Mus musculus: one gene and its partners. The protein of the gene in region 1 interacts with the protein of each later gene in a pairwise test. Links are inferred from orthologs where the notes say so. Each region holds a gene or a part of one and is shown in the gene's direction. Other genes may lie near its edges.

What was found. The genes of interacting proteins can lie anywhere in the genome.
Region 2: the proteins of Tfip11 (region 1) and Krt20 interact in binary tests that used the Homo sapiens proteins (3 or more experiments, as listed by UniProt). The two-hybrid records come from large-scale screens. The link is inferred for Mus musculus from reciprocal best matches to the Homo sapiens genes TFIP11 and KRT20.
Region 3: the proteins of Tfip11 (region 1) and Armcx1 interact in binary tests that used the Homo sapiens proteins (3 or more experiments, as listed by UniProt). The two-hybrid records come from large-scale screens. The link is inferred for Mus musculus from reciprocal best matches to the Homo sapiens genes TFIP11 and ARMCX1.

Annotation. Positions count from the first base shown.
Region 1 is NC_000071.6:112,328,218-112,339,165, forward strand, and holds the end of Tfip11 (tuftelin-interacting protein 11), read left to right. Parts: intron 1-1,148; coding exon 1,149-1,302; intron 1,303-1,529; coding exon 1,530-1,686; intron 1,687-2,873; coding exon 2,874-3,001; intron 3,002-3,650; coding exon 3,651-3,803; intron 3,804-4,746; coding exon 4,747-5,274; intron 5,275-5,357; coding exon 5,358-5,464; intron 5,465-6,099; coding exon 6,100-6,268; intron 6,269-6,642; coding exon 6,643-6,886; intron 6,887-7,355; coding exon 7,356-7,498; intron 7,499-7,797; coding exon 7,798-7,963; intron 7,964-8,768; coding exon 8,769-9,124; 3' UTR 9,125-9,188; coding exon of another isoform or gene 9,189-9,524; 3' UTR 9,525-9,758; coding exon of another isoform or gene 9,759-9,830; 3' UTR 9,831-9,856; downstream 9,857-10,948. Other genes in the region: Srrd (SRR1-like protein), read right to left, coding at 9,189-9,524, 9,785-9,830, 10,101-10,255. UniProt on the Homo sapiens protein: Involved in pre-mRNA splicing, specifically in spliceosome disassembly during late-stage splicing events. Intron turnover seems to proceed through reactions in two lariat-intron associated complexes termed Intron Large (IL) and Intron Small (IS).
Region 2 is NC_000077.6:99,435,808-99,439,407, reverse strand, and holds the start of Krt20 (keratin, type I cytoskeletal 20), read left to right. Parts: upstream 1-1,254; 5' UTR 1,255-1,310; coding exon 1,311-1,721; intron 1,722-3,600. UniProt on the Homo sapiens protein: Plays a significant role in maintaining keratin filament organization in intestinal epithelia. When phosphorylated, plays a role in the secretion of mucin in the small intestine.
Region 3 is NC_000086.7:134,717,230-134,720,737, forward strand, and holds the start of Armcx1 (armadillo repeat-containing X-linked protein 1), read left to right. Parts: upstream 1-708; 5' UTR 709-821; intron 822-1,140; 5' UTR 1,141-1,232; intron 1,233-1,496; 5' UTR 1,497-1,589; intron 1,590-1,690; 5' UTR 1,691-1,879; exon of another isoform or gene 1,880-2,274; intron 2,275-2,397; 5' UTR 2,398-2,496; intron 2,497-2,804; 5' UTR 2,805-2,921; coding exon 2,922-3,508. UniProt on the Homo sapiens protein: Regulates mitochondrial transport during axon regeneration. Increases the proportion of motile mitochondria by recruiting stationary mitochondria into the motile pool. Enhances mitochondria movement and neurite growth in both adult axons and embryonic neurons.

The DNA of each region.
Region 1 (10,948 bases):
GGATCGGGAAGGCATCCCAGAAGAGTTTTCTGCCCTTGTAGAGTCCGGGTGCTACAGCATCTTGCTATGTGTTGTTGAGCTGGGGTGGCGAGCTCCCCCTCAGCAGTTACTGTGTGATGGGATCAGGGCTACTTATGGATAGGGAAGTGCTGACCCACCACAGGCATGGCAGCTGTGGGGCCATGCTGTGTCAGGGAGCACTCACAGGGCACTAGAGAACAGGGAGTTTAGAGAGGGTGCTCTGGAGAAAACGCTGTTGGACCAAACGGAGGTAGAAAAGTGAGTAGGTCCACAGGGGAGAGTGGTAGTACAGCCTGGGGTCCACATTAAGATGCTGTCTCAAGTCTCCCCACCTAACTACACTCAGAATGTTTTGATTAATTTTACTTAGGATTTTTATCTGTTTGAGTTGTTCTGACTTTTATCCTTGAAATAGTATCTAAAACAAACACTGTGTGTGTGTGTGTGTGTGTGTGTGTGTGTGTGTGTGTGTTTACAGGCATGCTAGATAAGTGCTGTACCACTCTAAAGCAAAGCAGACACTAAGCTAACACAGTCTTTTCAGTTGTAAAAGGGGGCCCAGTTTGATGCCTCGGAGGTTGTTGCCATGCACACCTGGCTAGCTGGGTTCAGTCACCAGATTCCTACAGGGAAGGGGAAAGGGACGAGATGCTCTACAAATTGTCTGCACAGAGCAATAATGGCATTTTTGAAAGCGTCCAAAGGAAGTAAGATTATTACATCCTAGTCTGAATTTATACTCAACCCTACTGACAGTGGCAAATCTTCAGTTATAGTTTGAATCGAACAGACCCCACGAGTGTAAAATGTGGGCTGGAAGAGGACCCAGGAGCAATTGAGATTGAACTCAATTGCTATTGCAGACCTGAGTGTGGCTCCCAGCCAGTGCCCACCTCAGGCAGCTCACAAGTGCCTCTAATTCCATCTTCAGGGAATCGAGCCTTTGGCTCATCGGGCACCCACAGTGTCATGTGGTTAGGCCCCCCCCCCATATAATATTTTTTAAATGTTAAATGTAAGATTATTGAGGGCCTCTCTCTCTAAGGAATTCTCTTTCGAGCAGCTTCCAGGACAGGGTGTTGCAGAAGCGTTCTTTATGGACTTGGAGGCTCTGTGTGTGTCTGTAGGGCCCGAGACTATTCTGCACCTGTCAACTTCATCAGTGCGGGGCTCAAGAAAGGGGCGGCTGAGGAAGCGGACTCCGAGGACTCTGATGCTGAAGAGAAGCCTGTTAAGCAGGAGGACTTCCCGAAGGATTTAGGACCAAAGAAGTTAAAGACGGTAGGCCTCACAGGACAGTCTCCTGGTGGCACCCCATGGAGGTCACAGTGCAGTGGCTTCTTCCACAGGGAGAAGCTGGTGAGCATCTGCAGTTCCTTCCCTCCTCCGAGTCACTGATGGCTGTGGTCCAGATGCTGCCTTTCATGATACAGTGTAGCTGTAGGCTTGAGCTCCCTGGGTTGCTCCATTTTTCTCTCTCACCCAAACTCATCTCGCCTTCTTTGCAGGGTGGCAATTTTAAGCCCAGCCAGAAAGGCTTTTCAGGAGGAACCAAGTCCTTCATGGACTTTGGCAGCTGGGAGAGACACACGAAAGGGATCGGGCAGAAGCTGCTGCAGAAGATGGGCTACGTCCCTGGGCGTGGCCTGGGGAAGAACGCACAGGGTGAGTGTGGTGGAGGGGAGGCTCCGGGAGGAAGCTCGGCAAGTATGGGTGACAGGTCCTGGGAAGGATTCATAAGCTCAAAACCCAACCAAAGCAGCTGTTACTCTGCAGCTGGGTGTGGCTGCATGGGCCACTTGTGCTCCAGCTGCTTGGCTTTCTCAGAACCCAGATTCAGTAACTACTTGGTTAAGTGAGACGGAAACTGCTAGGGTCTAAAGTGGCTGCAGACGCAGAGCTGCTTTAACCTGGCCTGTGTCTCTAGAGAAGTAACTGCTAATATTTTTGAATCAGACAGTCTCACCCAGAACTCTAGATTTAGTTTGGCTGCTTCACAGATGCCTTTTGGCAGAGTGTGTTCTTCTAAACACAGTGTCCTCAGCCTCCTGGACCTGCCACCTGCCCTGCTGTGGTCAGTGTGTGAGCCTGCCTGGGCTGTTAGGCCAGCTGCGTAGTCCCTGCTTCTTCTTAGTCTGCAACTCAGCATCAGGCAGGCCAGTGCACAGCGGCCTTCACCGACTGAAGACATGCCTGTGCTGCTGGCTGACCCAAACCCACGTTGCTCCCCCAACCAGCCTCACTGAGAAACAGCCCTTGCACACACAGCTCACCACCTTGGCTCAGAGCCACAAGGAGCAAGCACTTAGCCTCTTTGAGCCTGACGGGTCCAATCAGAAGTGTCCTCTGTAATTCACATCCCAGGCCACCCACATGCGGCTCAGGTAGTGCTGAGGATTTTTCTGGGAAGAACGTGGCAGAGCATCCCTGAGATGCTGGGCAGAGCGTGGCAGAGCATCCCTGGGGTTTCAACAGTGCTGAGTGAGAAGGTGGAAGGAAATCCTGGACGGGGGAGTAATGCTGTTCCTGTTGATTGCCAGGGCTTAGCCATATTATATAAGTTAGCTGTGAGCAGTGTGAGCCCCTTCCCAGCCCACAGCTGTCCTTCAGCCGCTCAGCCTCCTGAGTTACTGTGCTTGCCACACAGGCTTCTGATGCCTATGTTGGTCAGCACAGGAGGGCAGAATCCTCAGAGGTGGTCTCAGTTGTTGAGTCCCAGGGAGTGTGGCTGTGTCCCGAGCACAGGGAAGGCACTCCTGTTGGTATGAAGCAGGAAGTGCTCTTTTCCTGGTGTCCTCACACTGGTGGCCAGGATCTGAAAAGTCTCTTGTCTTTCTCCTGCCCTCACTCAGGGATCATCAACCCCATCGAAGCCAAACAGAGAAAAGGCAAGGGAGCCGTGGGGGCCTATGGCTCGGAGAGGACCACTCAGTCTCTGCAGGACTTCCCCGTGGCCGACTCGGAAGAGGAGGCAGAAGAGGTAAAGATGACCTCTGTGTGGGCAGCGCAGGGCCTGGACCATTTCACACAGCTGCTACGTGCTGTGTGGCCTCTGCGTGTCCTCACACCCACTTATGCGGCAGGCCCTGCTGGAACTCACCTCTCACCTGATGCCATCACGGTGTCTTGGACCTAGGGCTGTGAGGTGGGCAGCTGTGGGACAGTAAGACAGGGTGAGGACTGAGACACTCAGGTACATGTGCTGTGACTGCAGGGTAGGCTCTCTCAGCTCAGAGATGGCCCGGGAGAGCACGCGCCATGATTCCTGAACAGCTGCAACTCCACATACTTGAAAGAAAAGAAATGACTGGTTAAGTCAGTGTGAGAATAAAATGGCAGCCAGGTCGGACTTGACCTGTAGGGCGGACGGGCGTGTCCTTACATGCTACCCTCTGCTCACCATTCTTGTGGAGCTCTGCTGAGTGGGGCCAGTGTTTTCTAATTTTCTATGCTATATCTAAGTTCTGTGAGAGCCTCTCCCTTCTCTTGGGCCTGCCTTTGGCATCCAGCTACTATACACGGATGTAGGCGAGTGGTATTTGGTGGCTGCAGGCATGCTAAAGGCCTTGGCCTTGGCTGCTGTGCATCAGGCCCCTCCTGTTGTCATTGACTGCATCCCTCTGCCTCAGGAGTTTCAGAAGGAGCTGAGCCAATGGAGGAAAGACCCCAGCGGGAGCAAGAAGAAGCCAAAGTACTCTTACAAGACTGTGGAGGAGCTGAAGGCCAAGGGCAGGGTCAGCAAGAAGCTCACAGCACCTCAGAAGGAACTGTCTCAGGTCAAGGTATGAGGGCCTCACATCTGTCCGTCCCCCTGTCCATCCTCTGAGGGCTTTGTCTGATAAGTAGGTTATTGGGGTGTGTGTATGGGGGGGGGTGACTATGTGTGTGTGTGTCTGTGTATGCGAGCAGGTGTGGGTGTGTTTCTATGTGTGTCTGTATGAGCATGTATGTCCGTATGTGTCTGTGAGCGTGTGTGGGTGTGGGTGTGTGTATGTGTGAGCATGTGTGGGTGTTTCTGTGTATGTGTCTGTGTAAGCATGTGTGGGTGTGTATCTGTATGTGTCTATGTGAGTGTATGTGGGTGTGTCTGTATGTCTGTGTGACCGGGTGTGGATGTGCTTTATGTCCAGTGAACTCAGTAACACTTCTAAGGTAAGTACTCTGAGTGAGTGCTGAGCACGGCACATGCCAGGCCCTGGTTTTTACGCCTGACACCTCCCCGTGCTGACTGTGGTAAGTATAGCTCCCAACCCCGAGCCTCTGCGCAGCCTGAAGCTTCCTTTGCTTTGCGGTGAGTTTGGCATAGATTCACTTGTAGGTAAATTTTTCTCTGTTGAGATCAAGGAGAGGGTTTCTGGGAGTGCCGTAAGCAGGAAGGGAAGGCCTGCCGATGGGCCAGGAGCAAGACCTCTCTCTCCTTTAAGGACTTCTGATGTACAGTTCTGACTGGCCCACGGGTGTAAGGCATGTCATAGCTGTGCATGAAGTGGGGTAGCTAGGATCTTGGGGAAGGCCACCCTCTCTGTGATGGACTCATGGTGTTGTTATCACTTTCCGAGTAGCTAGACAGCAGTGGTGGCAGCTGCGTGTCACCGACCGGTTAGTGTAAGATGGTGTGGGTCTGACAGCTCAAGCCTGTGGTAGGCAGCTCTGTCCATCCACAGAGCTCTGTCACATCTCCCCTGCTCAGTGGTGCTAACAGGTGGTAACCTGACTCTCTCCAAGGTGATCGACATGACAGGCCGGGAGCAGAAGGTGTACTACAGCTACAGCCAAATCAGCCACAAGCACAGCGTGCCCGATGAAGGGGTGCCATTGCTGGCGCAGCTGCCCCCCACAGCCGGCAAGGAAGCCAGGATGCCGGGCTTTGCACTGCCTGAGCTGGAGCACAACCTGCAGCTGCTCATTGAGCGCACGGAGCAGGAGATCATCCAGAGCGACCGGCAGCTCCAGTATGAGCGGGACATGGTGGTCAGCCTGTCACACGAGCTGGAGAAGACGGCCGAGGTTCTTGCACATGAGGAGCGTGTCATCTCTAACCTCAGCAAGGTGCTGGCCCTGGTGGAGGAATGTGAGCGCCGCATGCAGCCCCATGGCGCCGACCCCCTCACTCTGGATGAGTGTGCCCGCATCTTTGAGACACTACAGGACAAGTATTATGAGGAGTACCGCCTGGCGGACCGCGCAGACCTCGCTGTGGCCATTGTCTACCCGCTCGTGAAGGACTACTTTAAGGATTGGCACCCCCTCGAGGTGAGCTAGGGTGCAGCCTGCTTTTGGGCTGGGGCATGGCTACTGAGGTGGGCAGGCTGATTGATGATGCTGGTGTTCTGCAGGACGGCAGCTATGGCACCCAGATCATCTCCAAGTGGAAGAGCCTCCTGGAGAACGACCAGCTGCTGTCTCACAGCAGCCAGGACCTGTCCTCCGATGCCTTCCACAGGTGCCAGGCCCTACCCCACTGTATTCCCTCATCCCCTCAGCCCCCAAGGAGCAGGAGTTGTGCTAAAGGCTGGGGGGTAAGCCATTCTGGCCCTGTTGACTCAGCTCCACCCCGGATCTGCTCTGGGTGTGGAGATGTGCTCACCCGTGTGTGCACGAGTGTCCTGAGCATCCAGGAACTGGGCTCACCCATGTGTGCACGAGTGTCCCGAGCATCCAGGAACTGGGCTCACCCATGTGTGCACGAGTGTCCCGAGTGTCCAGGAGCTGGGCTGACCCTGACCATGAGCAGCTTTCACCCAGTCTGGAAAAGGCAGTGCCAAGAACTAGTGAGAACTAAGAATGACCCAGATGTAGAGAGGACATTCCAGCTGTGACCTCGGGTGTGAGAACTGTGAACTGAGGCTCCTGGTGGGAGAGCAGCTGCTGCCCTGTGCTGTCACTGTCAGCACGTGGGCCTGTAGCAGTCCTGCCAGTGCTGGGTCCACTGAGGTGCCCAAGGCCGAGAGCCAAGACATCATGGCAGCCTCTGTGGGCACTGGCCTGAGGTTTCCTGTGGGGGTGTGTGGGCTGGCACACTTTGAGCACCGTGAAGGCAGCAGTGTGGCTGACCAGAGGCTGCCATGCCTCTAACAGGCTCATGTGGGAGGTCTGGATGCCTTTCGTTCGGAATGTCGTCGCCCAGTGGCAGCCACGGAACTGTGAGCCGATGGTGGATTTCCTGGACAGCTGGGCACACATCATCCCCGTGTGGATCCTGGACAATATCCTGGACCAGCTCATCTTCCCTAAGCTGCAGAAGGAGGTATGGCATTGCTTTGACAGTGTCTCTTATCTGTGCACAAGAGCCCAGAGGTTGAAGGACTGCCAGCATGGCTGGGTGGCCTGCAGTAGTAGTTCTAGCCTTCTCCATAGTACCCCCTTCCTACCTCTCTCGGGTGGGCATGGCCTTTCTCAAGGCCTTTATTGAACCTTGAGCTGTGCTGAGGCTTGAGTTGGTGGCATGAGTGTTTAATTTCCTTCTGTGGAGGGACCTAGAGTACAGAATACCTATTTACCTCCTCAGTGGGGTTCCCCCTCCACACACACACACTGAGGACTGTGACCCTTGGTCAGGATACAAAGGCCTCTCCCTAAGGACAGCACTGCTGTATCATGGTCATCCCACTCATCCTGCAGGTGGACAACTGGAACCCCCTGACAGACACCGTTCCCATCCACTCGTGGATCCACCCGTGGCTGCCGCTCATGCAGGCCCGCCTGGAGCCACTCTACTCCCCTGTGCGCAGCAAGTTGTCCAGCGCACTGCAGAAATGGCACCCCAGCGACGCCTCAGCCAAGCTCATCCTGCAGCCCTGGAAAGAGGTCCTCACCCCTGGGTCCTGGGAGGCCTTCATGCTCAGGAACATCGTGCCCAAGCTGGGTAAGGACATGGGGACTTGCGGGCCGAGTGCAGCCTCAGTGTCCACTATGAGGTATACTCCTTAGGGCAGAGGTGGACGGGACTGGAAGCAGGCCCTTCCTGCTGTTCCTTCATAGCTTGACCAGGGTCTGCAGTCATGACTCTGGACTCTCTGTGCTTTGTCTGACAGGGCTGGTTTGAATGTCAGAACCAGAAAGCCTCTGGCCCCCTATTTTTTAAGGAATTATTTAATGTATGTGAGAACACTGTTGCTGTCTTCAGACACACCAGAAGAGGGCATCAGATCCCACTGCAGATGGTTGTGAGCCACCGTGTGGTTGCTGGGAATTGAACTCAGGACCTCTGGAAGAGCAGTCAGTGCTGTTAACCACTGAGCCATCTGTCCAGCCCTGGCCTCTTAAGTGCTTGTGACTCATGGGATTCACTGTGGGTGGAGACTGAAGAGTGTGCCTTGCTGTCTCTCTTGCAGGCATGTGCCTGGGAGAGCTTGTCATCAACCCCCACCAGCAGCACATGGACGCCTTCTACTGGGTGATGGACTGGGAGGGGATGATCTCCGTCTCCAGCCTGGTGGGGCTGCTGGAGAAGCATTTCTTCCCCAAGTGGCTCCAGGTGAGCAGTGTGGTCCAGGAGGGTCCCCAGTGCCCTCTGCTGTCCAGTCACAGAATTGCCTCAGCTCAGCTCCTCAGAGAACCTGTTGGGGATGTGGAGATCAAGGCTTTAGCACATTTAGGCCACAGGCTGGCTCCAGATTCTCCTGGTAACTGCTAGAAGCCGCAGCTTCATGTGCCCTGTAGTGTGGGATGCTGGGAGGAGCAACACTGAACACAACAGTAGCCCCGGGAACTCTGCCCTCCCTGCCGTGGTCCAGTGTGTACATCATCAGCTCAGAGTCCTGTGTCCTTTGGCAGGTGCTGTGCTCCTGGCTCAGTAACAGTCCCAATTACGAGGAGATCACCAAGTGGTACCTGGGCTGGAAGTCTATGTTCTCAGACCAGGTGCTGGCCCACCCTTCTGTCAAGGACAAGTTCAACGAAGCGCTCGACATAATGAACAGGGCTGTGTCCTCCAATGTTGGTGAGTAGATATCTAAGTTAGGCTGTCATTGCTGTGACTGACACCAGGACCAAGGCAACTCTTGTAAAGGTTTGCAGGTTCAGTCCTTTATCAAGGTGGGAGCATGGCAGCATCCAAGCAGGTATGGCAAGGGAGGAGCTGAGAGTTCTGCATCTTGTTATGAAGGCAAACAGAAGACTGACTCTCAGGCAGCCCACACCCACAGTGACACACTTCTGGGCCAAGCATATTCAAACCACCACAGTAGTTTGCATTTGGGTCACCCTGTGATCCACTAATCACCATACTCTAGCTCCCCAAATGCATTTTCCATGTAAAGTTTAAATTATATGTTTATGTATGTGCCTGGTGGACAGCCATAAGAGGGTATCATGGGCCTGGAGTTAGAGAGTTATGGGCCATGTGAAGGGGGAGCTGGGAATCAAACTGGATTCTCTGAAAACATACATATTCCTAACCAATGAGCCCCATTTTCTGTTCTACAGAGGGGCCTCTGAAGCAAGGGATAGTAGAATGAATGTAGGCCATGCTAGACTACAAGGTGACCTCATAAATGGTGACTTTAGGGGGCCACATGTGTGGGCTCAGCCCTTGTCCACATCTCTTAGTAGTGAGAGAATCACTTCTGATACCTGATATTAGCTACTCAGCTCCCAGACCAGTTTTGTGGTAGTGACTCTCCCCAAGCATGCACTGATCATGTTAGTGGTACCTGGGCCCTTCAGCAGCAGGTCACACACAGCATGTCATCCTGGGGTTCTGCATACCCGGGGTCACATCTCATCTCTGTCCTCCCTTCTCTCAGGTGCCTACATGCAGCCGGGTGCGAGAGAGAACATTGCCTACCTCACCCACACAGAGCGCAGGAAGGACTTCCAGTACGAGGCCATGCAGGAGCGCCGGGAGGCTGAGAACATGGCACAGAGAGGCATCGGTGTGGCCGCCAGCTCCGTGCCCATGAACTTTAAGGACCTCATCGAGACTAAGGCAGAGGAGCACAACATTGTGTTCATGCCTGTCATCGGCAAGCGGCACGAGGGCAAGCAGCTCTACACCTTCGGCCGCATCGTCATCTACATTGACCGGGGTGTGGTGTTTGTGCAGGGCGAGAAGACGTGGGTGCCCACCTCCCTGCAGAGCCTCATCGACATGGCCAAGTAGACATCGGCCACACCAGACCGGTGTGAATAAACAGCACTGTAAACCAAGCTGATGAATAACGTCTCTATTTGGGAGACCAGGCCACCAGGGCAGGATGTGACTCAGTGTCCCCAGTCGGCCTGTATTCCTGGCCGGGCAAAGGATCTGGTGTGGTGTGCACCGTGGCTCCTGGCCCAGGTGGAGAGAACTGTCCTGTTACTCCAGCTGAGCGATCTGTAGCTTTCCTGATGATCTCCAGGTCCTCACAGTCCTGGTAGTCAGGCTCTTCCTGGGATGCCCACAGGTCCCCAGGCAGTCCTTCCAGCTTCAATAGTGGGAACCAGTGGACAGATGTATCATTAAAGGTGTCAGTGTACTGGGGAGTCTGCGGCAGTGGGACCTCCTCCAGGCCTTTCAGAATCTGAGCAGAGAGGACCAGATACGGGCATTAGGTACACCCCTCTCTATCTTCACCTGGCCACCCCACCGTCCTTCTGAGAAATAAGGGATGGGGGGGTTGTATTTCAGCACTTTTCAGTCCCATGCCAGTGAGACTGCTGGGCTCGCCCTAAGGATGAAGGCCACTGGCACACAGTAGGAGAGGCACCAGCTGGTTGTGCTTAGAAACATGGACAGTGTGGCTTTGCACCCTCACCCCGGCCCAGCTATTCTGTCAGACACCTTTGCAATGTAGGGGTAATTTTCCTGCAGAATCCTCGCCAACAACCTACAAATAAAAACATACATACACAATTAGGAAGTATATGGGTGTTTGCTTTCTTTTTCAACAGGTAAAAACTAGTTCAGAAAGGTTGAGGGATATGCAAGAGGGCAGCACAGGCATGCTGTGAAGCAGATCAGGAGTGTCTGCACTTAAAGCATGGCTGCCCAAACACTTCTGCCCTTGGAAGACTCCTTAGGTGCTTTAAGCTAGACCCCTAAACCATTTACACAGGTCCTCACAGGGAAGCTAGGCCTGGCATTCCTGCTGGCTCACCTTTCCTCAAGGCCTCGGAAGCTGTTCCCGATGATGAGCACCCTGGACAGGGCGTCTGCAGACCAGTTGCTCCACAGCAGGTTGTTGTATAGAGCTGTCCCACAGTGTGGCATGTAGAAGACAGTGGGCTGGCCCTGGACACTGCGCTTGCCTTCCTGTGGAACCAGCAGAATGGGTGCTAAGGAGCAGAGTGCAAAGCCCAGCTCTTCTGTGGCACAGCTATATTAGTAAGTGTAAGCACGCTGGACGTCTGTAAGGGACACAAGGAACCCATGCTGACCAAAGGTATTTCGTGAGATGACTGTCCCCATGTCCTACATTCTGGGTCTTCCAGATACCCTGCTTCACTACAGATCCTTACCACAGTGGGGACATAGACACCTAATGGCTGTCTGGCCACACCTCCACTGTGTGTGCCTCTCCCTGCAGCTTCTGTCAGGCACAAGCCCATGTTGGTGTCCTATGGCTGCCTCCACAGGATCTGCCTGTGGTACTGGACACCACCTTCTGATGGCTCTCAGTGCATAGGCCAACCCTGCTACTGTACTTGGTCTCTATAAATTAAAGGTGCCCTCAGGCCTCACCTATCTGCTCTTCTCTGCATAGAGCCAGCACACAAAAGCGAGTGCTATAGGGTCTCACTATTGCTCAAAGCAGCAGGATCATGAGGCTGAGACCATCCTGGGCTACAGAGACCCTAAAAGTGGGGGGAGGGGTGGGGGGAGGGGTGAATGTATTTGCCACCTAACCAGGCCAGTCCAACCTCAGTGATTCCCAGAACTCAGACAAAACCCAGAAAGGACACACAAATACCCATTTCTGGTTTTTTGTTTTTTTTGTTTTGTTTT
Region 2 (3,600 bases), on another chromosome or scaffold:
GTCTAGCTGGCCTCAGACAGAGGAAGCAGTATGCAATATATGCAATATGCCAGTTATTAAAAGCAGGAGTTTCGCAGTAATTTAATGTTGCTGTTTCTTTTTTAAGAAGCACTAGATTTAAAAATATTTGCAAGATTCTTATAACAAGTTTGTTTTTGTTTTTGTTTTTTTTTTTAAATAAGGTCCCCTTGCTAACCTAGATGTTCCTGGCAGTTGCAGGCTGCTGGGAGCCAGGCAGAGGATCTATGACCTCTGACAGGCTGCTCACACACCCAGTCCAAGGCCGCACACCCACAAGCATACAGGCAGCACTAATTAGATCCAGTTGGTTATTTTTAAAAAGAAAAAGATAAAAAGAGGTATGAAGTTTGGGTGGGGTTGTGTTAGGCGCTTCGGAGGCAGCTGGAGAGGCGAGTGGGAGAGGAGTTTATCAAGATACGCTACATGTGCATGGATGAAATTATCCAAAAATGCTATTTAAAATATCTTTTTTTAAAAAACTCCAAAATCAACTGACCCACCGCCCACCGATAATCATTTACATATTCACCTACTGACCGTATTCAATTCTTAAACGGGGGTGGGGGGAGCTGCACTTTGAGACAGTGTCTTGTTACACAACACTGGGCTAGACTGGAACACCTTACTTCAACCAGGCTGGCCTCAAACTAGTCCTGATCCCCCCCACCTCTGACTCCCGGGTGCTAGAATCTCAGGTGCACACCCACACACCCAGCTTCACTCAAGACATTTCAATAGACTGTAAATATAAATTCTAAACAAGGATAAACTTAAAAGTAAAAAAAAAATTTAAAGAAGCATAAAACATTTTTTAAAAGAAAATCATTTGAACAAGCCATTGTCTTTTCTCACCAGTGTGACTTATATTATGTTCCCACAGCTGTCTTGTTCGATGCCTGAATTATTCATATAGATTGTAAATATTCTTTATTTGTATACAGGATGAAAAAAAAAAAACCTGCCAGGGCAGGTGCAAGACCTGAAAGGACACCCCTTCCTCGTCCTTTTTGTTATCTCTGTTTATTAAAAAGAAACCTCCACTCCCACCACCCCCACAGGAAAGCCTTTAAAAAGTGCCTCTGGTAGAAATTTCTGGAATGGAATGAAACGTATTGCCGTACAAAAGAGGGGGAAGGGGAGACAGGAAGGTGGACTGTGTCATTCCTGAGGTGACACGGCAGCAGAGGAGGAGTCTCTTGAACTCTATAAAAGGTCATCTCCACAGCAGCCCGAGACAGACAGGCTGTGCTCCAAGTCCAGGCTACAGGCGTTGCCTCCCTACATCCCAGATGGATTTCAGTCGTCAAAGTTTTCACCGAAGTCTGAGTTCCTCCTCACAAGGCCCAGCACTCAGCATGAGTGGCTCGCTGTATAGGAAGGGGACTGTGCAGCGTCTGGGGGCTGCACCCAGCGTCTATGGTGGGGCTGGAGGCCATGGCACTCGCATCTCTGTCTCCAAAGCCGTAATGAGCTACGGGGGTGATCTCTCCAACGGATCGGACCTGTTTGGGGGCAATGGGAAACTGGCAATGCAGAACCTGAACGACAGATTGGCAAACTACCTAGAAAAAGTGCGCTCCCTGGAGCAATCCAATTCCAGACTTGAAGCCCAGATCAAGCAGTGGTACGAAACCAACGCGCCGAGCACCATCCGAGACTATAGCTCCTACTACGCACAGATTAAAGAGCTGCAAAATCAGGTGAGCCATGAAGCCTGTAATTTCTACCTCACTGTTTAGTTGCCTAATGGATTGAGAGATGTATGCTAGGTGAATTCGAACACATGAAGCAGATTAGGTTGAAATGTATAATTGAAAAAAAAATGTATTTTATCATGTGGTATCTGTAAACAGGATGAGTCTAACTCACATTTTTTCTAAAACTTCAACTAATTATATATAAAATATGATCATTTTATCATCCAAAATTGCAGTTCAAATCTTTGTTATGGCTTACAATATAAGGTCTTCATTGTGGATAATCTTATTTTTCAAAGACCTCCAATGGTTTCTATATGTGAGTTTGCCAGTAGTCTTTACTAACTTTGAAGACTCAAGTTGATTTAAAGAGATTTTTCATCTTTCATTATATGAATGTTATAACAAATATATTAACCTACTATGGGTATAAATAACAAAAGGGTTCAGGGTGGATACAGATTACAGATATTAATGATATGTATACTGATTGATAAATAGTTGTGTGATAGGGGATGGATGGATGGATGGATGGATGGATGGATGGATGGATGAACTGCTCTTTGATACAAGATCTGTGTATCCCAGGCTAGTCTGGACCTCACCATCCTCCTGCCTCCACTGCCTCAGCACTGGGGTTAAAGAACTGTGCCACCATACACGGTTCTGATACCTGGATTTTTTAGTGTCTTATTTAATTATCTCCTCACTATCACCAAGCATTTTATAATGCACCTCTGTGATAATAAAATGTTCTATTGCCCCCAATTTAAGTTTATTACAGTCATATCACAATCTGTTCCTGTGTCATCCATGGTAGGTGGGGTTCCCCTTTCTATAAAGCCAATGGAATAAAAGTGGGAGACTTCGCTCCTGACTGAGGACCTCAAGCATCGGCACACACCATTTGCCCAGCCCCGGGGTTCTTATCTCATCAGGAAAAGCCTCCCCTTGGGTTTTGTTTAAATCTCGAAATGATTGCAAAGGCCTTTAGAGCAAAGACCTTTGTCTTAACCACAGGCCTCTTGTCTTGAGTTCTGTTTGAATTACAGGCATCAATGCAGCTTAATTCAGACTTCATAGCCCATGAAGCTGTGTGGTGCTTACATTGCCCTTCTCATCAACAGGACGGTCCTTCAGGCTTCTCGATACAACACAAAATTCAAATTAAGCACTTCTCTCATGGTTGACGCTTTTGAATTGACTTGGGGATTACCCATAGTACTTAGGCACAGCCATTAGTGACCAGTGGTTAGGGACCTCTCTCCAGGAATAGCCGCTGAAAGGGATATGTCTAAAATCTTCTAGAAGTAGACTTCTAATCTACTTCTTAATACGGTGTTTGCCTTGAAACATGAGAACCTGACTTCAGTCCCCAGGTTACAAAGCAAAGCTGTAGAATGACTGTGTGTGCTTGTACTCCCAGCATTGGGAAAACAAGCAGATTCCTGGGACTTGCTGGTCAGCCAGCCTGGCCAACTTGGTGAGTTCCAAGACAATGAGAGACCCTGCCATACACACACACACACACACACACACACACACACACACACACACACAAAGGTAGCACTTAAGGAATGGCATGTAAGATTGTCCTCTGACCTCCACATACATACACCTGTGCATATAAACATGTACACACAGAGAGAGATGCACACAGATCCAGGATGTATCCATCCTTCTGTCCTGCGCCTAACTCCTACAGATAGCAAGTGCTTTAAGTGGAAACAGGCACAGACCACAGAAACCATCACTCAGAGAGGTAGATGCAGGGATGCTGTGCAGGGCAACAGCCACGGCGGCGCATTCGCTGCTATAACTGGAAGATATCATGGAGGGGCCTTGAAAGTGTTGTCTGAGCTGAGAGGTGAGGAAGCTGGAG
Region 3 (3,508 bases), on another chromosome or scaffold:
ATTAAATAAGTTAGGATTAATTGTGTTGCTTTTATTTTACCAAATTTGCAAGTTAAACCAAAAGTAGAAAAAAAAATTTGCAGTTTGAATAAAATGGTTCAAATCAGACAACTGGTCATCCTTTTTTAGAGTGTTCATTCATAAAACATGCAAAAACTCCAACTTTCTATTTTCAAACAAGTTAGTGCGTTATGATAGCAATTATTTGTCTGTAATCAGTAGAAATTTGTGTGTGTGTGTGTGTGTGTGTAACTGCAATTACTAAGGTCCACTGGGTTTTCCTTTGCCACTTAAATTTTTCTCCACACAAATGAAAAACATAATTTTATATTCTCAATGTAAAAGCAAGGCTGATTTTTTTTTTCCTTTTTTGAAATCCTGTTTGGTATCAGAGCGCAGGGAAGATGCAGGCTCTTCCCAGTTGAAAGGGAAAGGGGAGAAGAGAAAAGCAGCTGGGGTGGGAATAAAGAACCGCCAGAATTGTTCCTAAAAGAGGAAGAAAGGACCAATGTGGTATCTCTGTTGTTAACCATAGAAAGGCAAATTCCAACCACAAAAGAAGCTCCTTGCGGTTTGGGGATTAACAAAGAGGAAAAAGAATGGCAGGACCTGGTGTGGCGGGGAAGGCAGGGGAAAGGCTGCCTCCTGCTGCAGTGTTGATGGGAGTGGCAGTTGGAATCCTGATCTCACTGGTGACGTGCCCCTCACGTGAGCCGAAGCCTACGTGTGCAGACCTCCTCCTAATTCTGGTCTACCTTAGTGTTTGCTCTCTCTGTTATTGTTGAGAGCAGGCAGGCCTGCTGCGGAAGGAAGAGGAGAAGGTAACGGCCTGGATGCCAGCAAGTCTATGCATGGATGATGCTTGGGGGATCGCTTTACTCTGGGTAGCTGTTAGCCAAGATACGGGCGACACAGTCTGCTCTCTTCATGCACTTGCAATGCCTTCCGATCCTCTTGGGGGTGGGAGGCGGTGAATCTTGGAGGGAGAGATTCCAGGAGAGACCCCGGATGAGGGTTTGGGGCGGGGAGCCTTTGGCATGTAAGGGCCTAGAATCCGGAGGGACAAGTATTATGGGTTGGTGCATGGATCCTATGAAGACAGAATTTTGAGGTAGTGAGATATCCTCTGTCATTCATTAGGGTGCAGCACCTTTTGGAACAAAGAAATAATCAACATCGAATTTCTGCATGTCAATTTAAAGCTGAGACTGTCTGCGACCTGCATATAAGTGGTAGCTGGGGGATTTATTATAACTCGGGGCCATTATTGACTTTGGCAGTCGACGTGTGCGTCGTTCCCTGCTCCCACCCCCAGGAAAAAGGACTGTTCTCAGAGTTGTACAGGAAAAAAAAAGGGGGGGGGGCTATCATCGGGGGTTGGGCTGGGTTGGGGAGGACGGAAGAGATATGTGGTCTTCTTCCGTAGCTCGAGTTTTCCCCGTACTCGCTGGGCCCGCCCCCAGTGCTGCGCTTCCAAAGGGGTGTGGTTTTTGCAGGAAAAAATGGCCGACCACCGCAAGAAGGAGTGTCGGGATGTAGCTGTATAGCATCGGGGCGTTGTCAGCTGAGTCCAGAGAACTGGGGGCAGGGTGAGAAACAAAACCATGAAATCCATCTGACCAATCAGGTCCCCGGATTTGGGAAAGCTAGTATTTAGGTGGTATATATTTTGTGTTCTGTCTCTGCTTAGGTGCCTGTATCTGTGGCTCTCGCTCCAGACTAAACCAAGAAGCAGGGAAGGGAGGAAAACTTCCCAGAATCAAGTAGGTCCAAGGAAGAAGTGTGATGACACTGTTTGGAGGTCGCTGGGGTAGACGATAATGGTGACTATGAACTCGAGTGGACAGACTCACAGACTTTCTCTGCACCCCTTCTCCTGGTACTGTGTTGGCGGTGGGGAGGACATTATTTTGAAATACTGTATGGTGCAGTCTTTGTTGCTTTTAGTCTAATAGGAACCCGATTTGTTGTCTTTAGGTATGGAGAAGTCAGGGGCTTAGACAAGGAGGTGGGAGGGAGGAAAGAAATTTCTCAGAGCAGTGGAAATTGATGTAATTATTCAATAGATCGTTGAGGCTGTCTTTAAGGTAGTCCGGTGGGCAGAAGTCAGTGAAGATGCACTTAAAAGTCTGATTTCTAGGTACTGATGTCTATTTCTTTACAAGGAAGGGTGTGTAGTGTCACCTTTGGATGAAGTGACAGACAGGGTAGTGGGGGGCAGGAAGACAAGATGAGAGAGGGGACTGATCATCCAAGGAGGAAGGTATATAGAAGGTAAGAAACACTGTAGTGAAGGACAAGTGCCTGGGAATTGAGATGGATATATGTCCTGCCTTGAGGGTGATTTATCTGGTTCTTGAGTTCTCAGCTCAGACCTCTGTATCCTTTTGTTTGTAGATCTGCAAGAGGCTGGAAAGGAGGAAGAAACTTCTTGGATCTCTGAGGGTATATGTGAGGGTGTCTCTGTGACCCTGACTCAAGACATCTGCTGCAAGGGTAAAGATCATTGTGTGTGTGTGTGTGTGTGTGTGTGTGTGTGTGTGTATAATAAATTGAACATAATATAAATATATTCAATGGACATTCTTGGGATGGGTGGAAGAACATAAATTTAGAGAATCTGGCTGTTTGGAAAACATCCAAAATTGCTTCCAGATAAAGGACAGGAATAATGATGAGGAGACCAAGCCCCAAATGTTAGCTAATATCTTTGTATATTTGTAGGCAAGTGATTAAGTCTATTTATGAACAAAAGCACAATTGGAGAAGTCAAAATTTTGTAATCTTCCGTTTTTTTCTTCTAGGTATCACTGTATCTGCTGTTGTAGCTGCTCCTAACCTGCAGAATCTGAAGACTTTACCTCTGACCTGAGAACAAGTCAGCTCTGTGTCCAGCTTAAGAGATTCACCCCAGCTGTACGATGGGTCGCACCCGGGAAGCTGGATGTGTGGCTGCAGGCATGGTCATTGGGGCTGGTGCCTGCTACTGTGTATACAGACTGACCTGGGGAAAAGATGAGAATGAGAAGTTGTGGGATGAGGAAGAGGAGGAAGAGGAGGAAGAGGAGGAAAAGTCTTGTAGTGACAAAACTGAGAAAGAACTTAAGACTAATGTTGGGGTAGGGGCGAGAGGCAAACCTCAAGATGACTCAAAGTCCAAGGTTGAGGTGAATGTGGGACCTGAGAATGGTCCAGGTGTAAAGAAAGAAGTGCACCCAGAATCCCAGAGTGGGGGTGGACTAGAGGCTAAGGCCAAGGCCCTTTTCAAGACTCTAAAGGAACAGGCACGTGCAAAGGCAGGCAGAGGCATAAGGCTTCCTAACATCTCTAGGAATAGGACCCTGACATCAAGTTTGCCTTGCCCAGGAGGCAGGGGTGGAGGCTGCCACCCGGGAAGGACTGGTTCTAGGGCTAGGAACAGGACAAGTGGGAAAGTCAAGAGAAAGAACCGAAGCAAGAGCAACAAGGCTCCAGCCACAGCATGGCCTGTACGCAAGGGCAAGTTCAG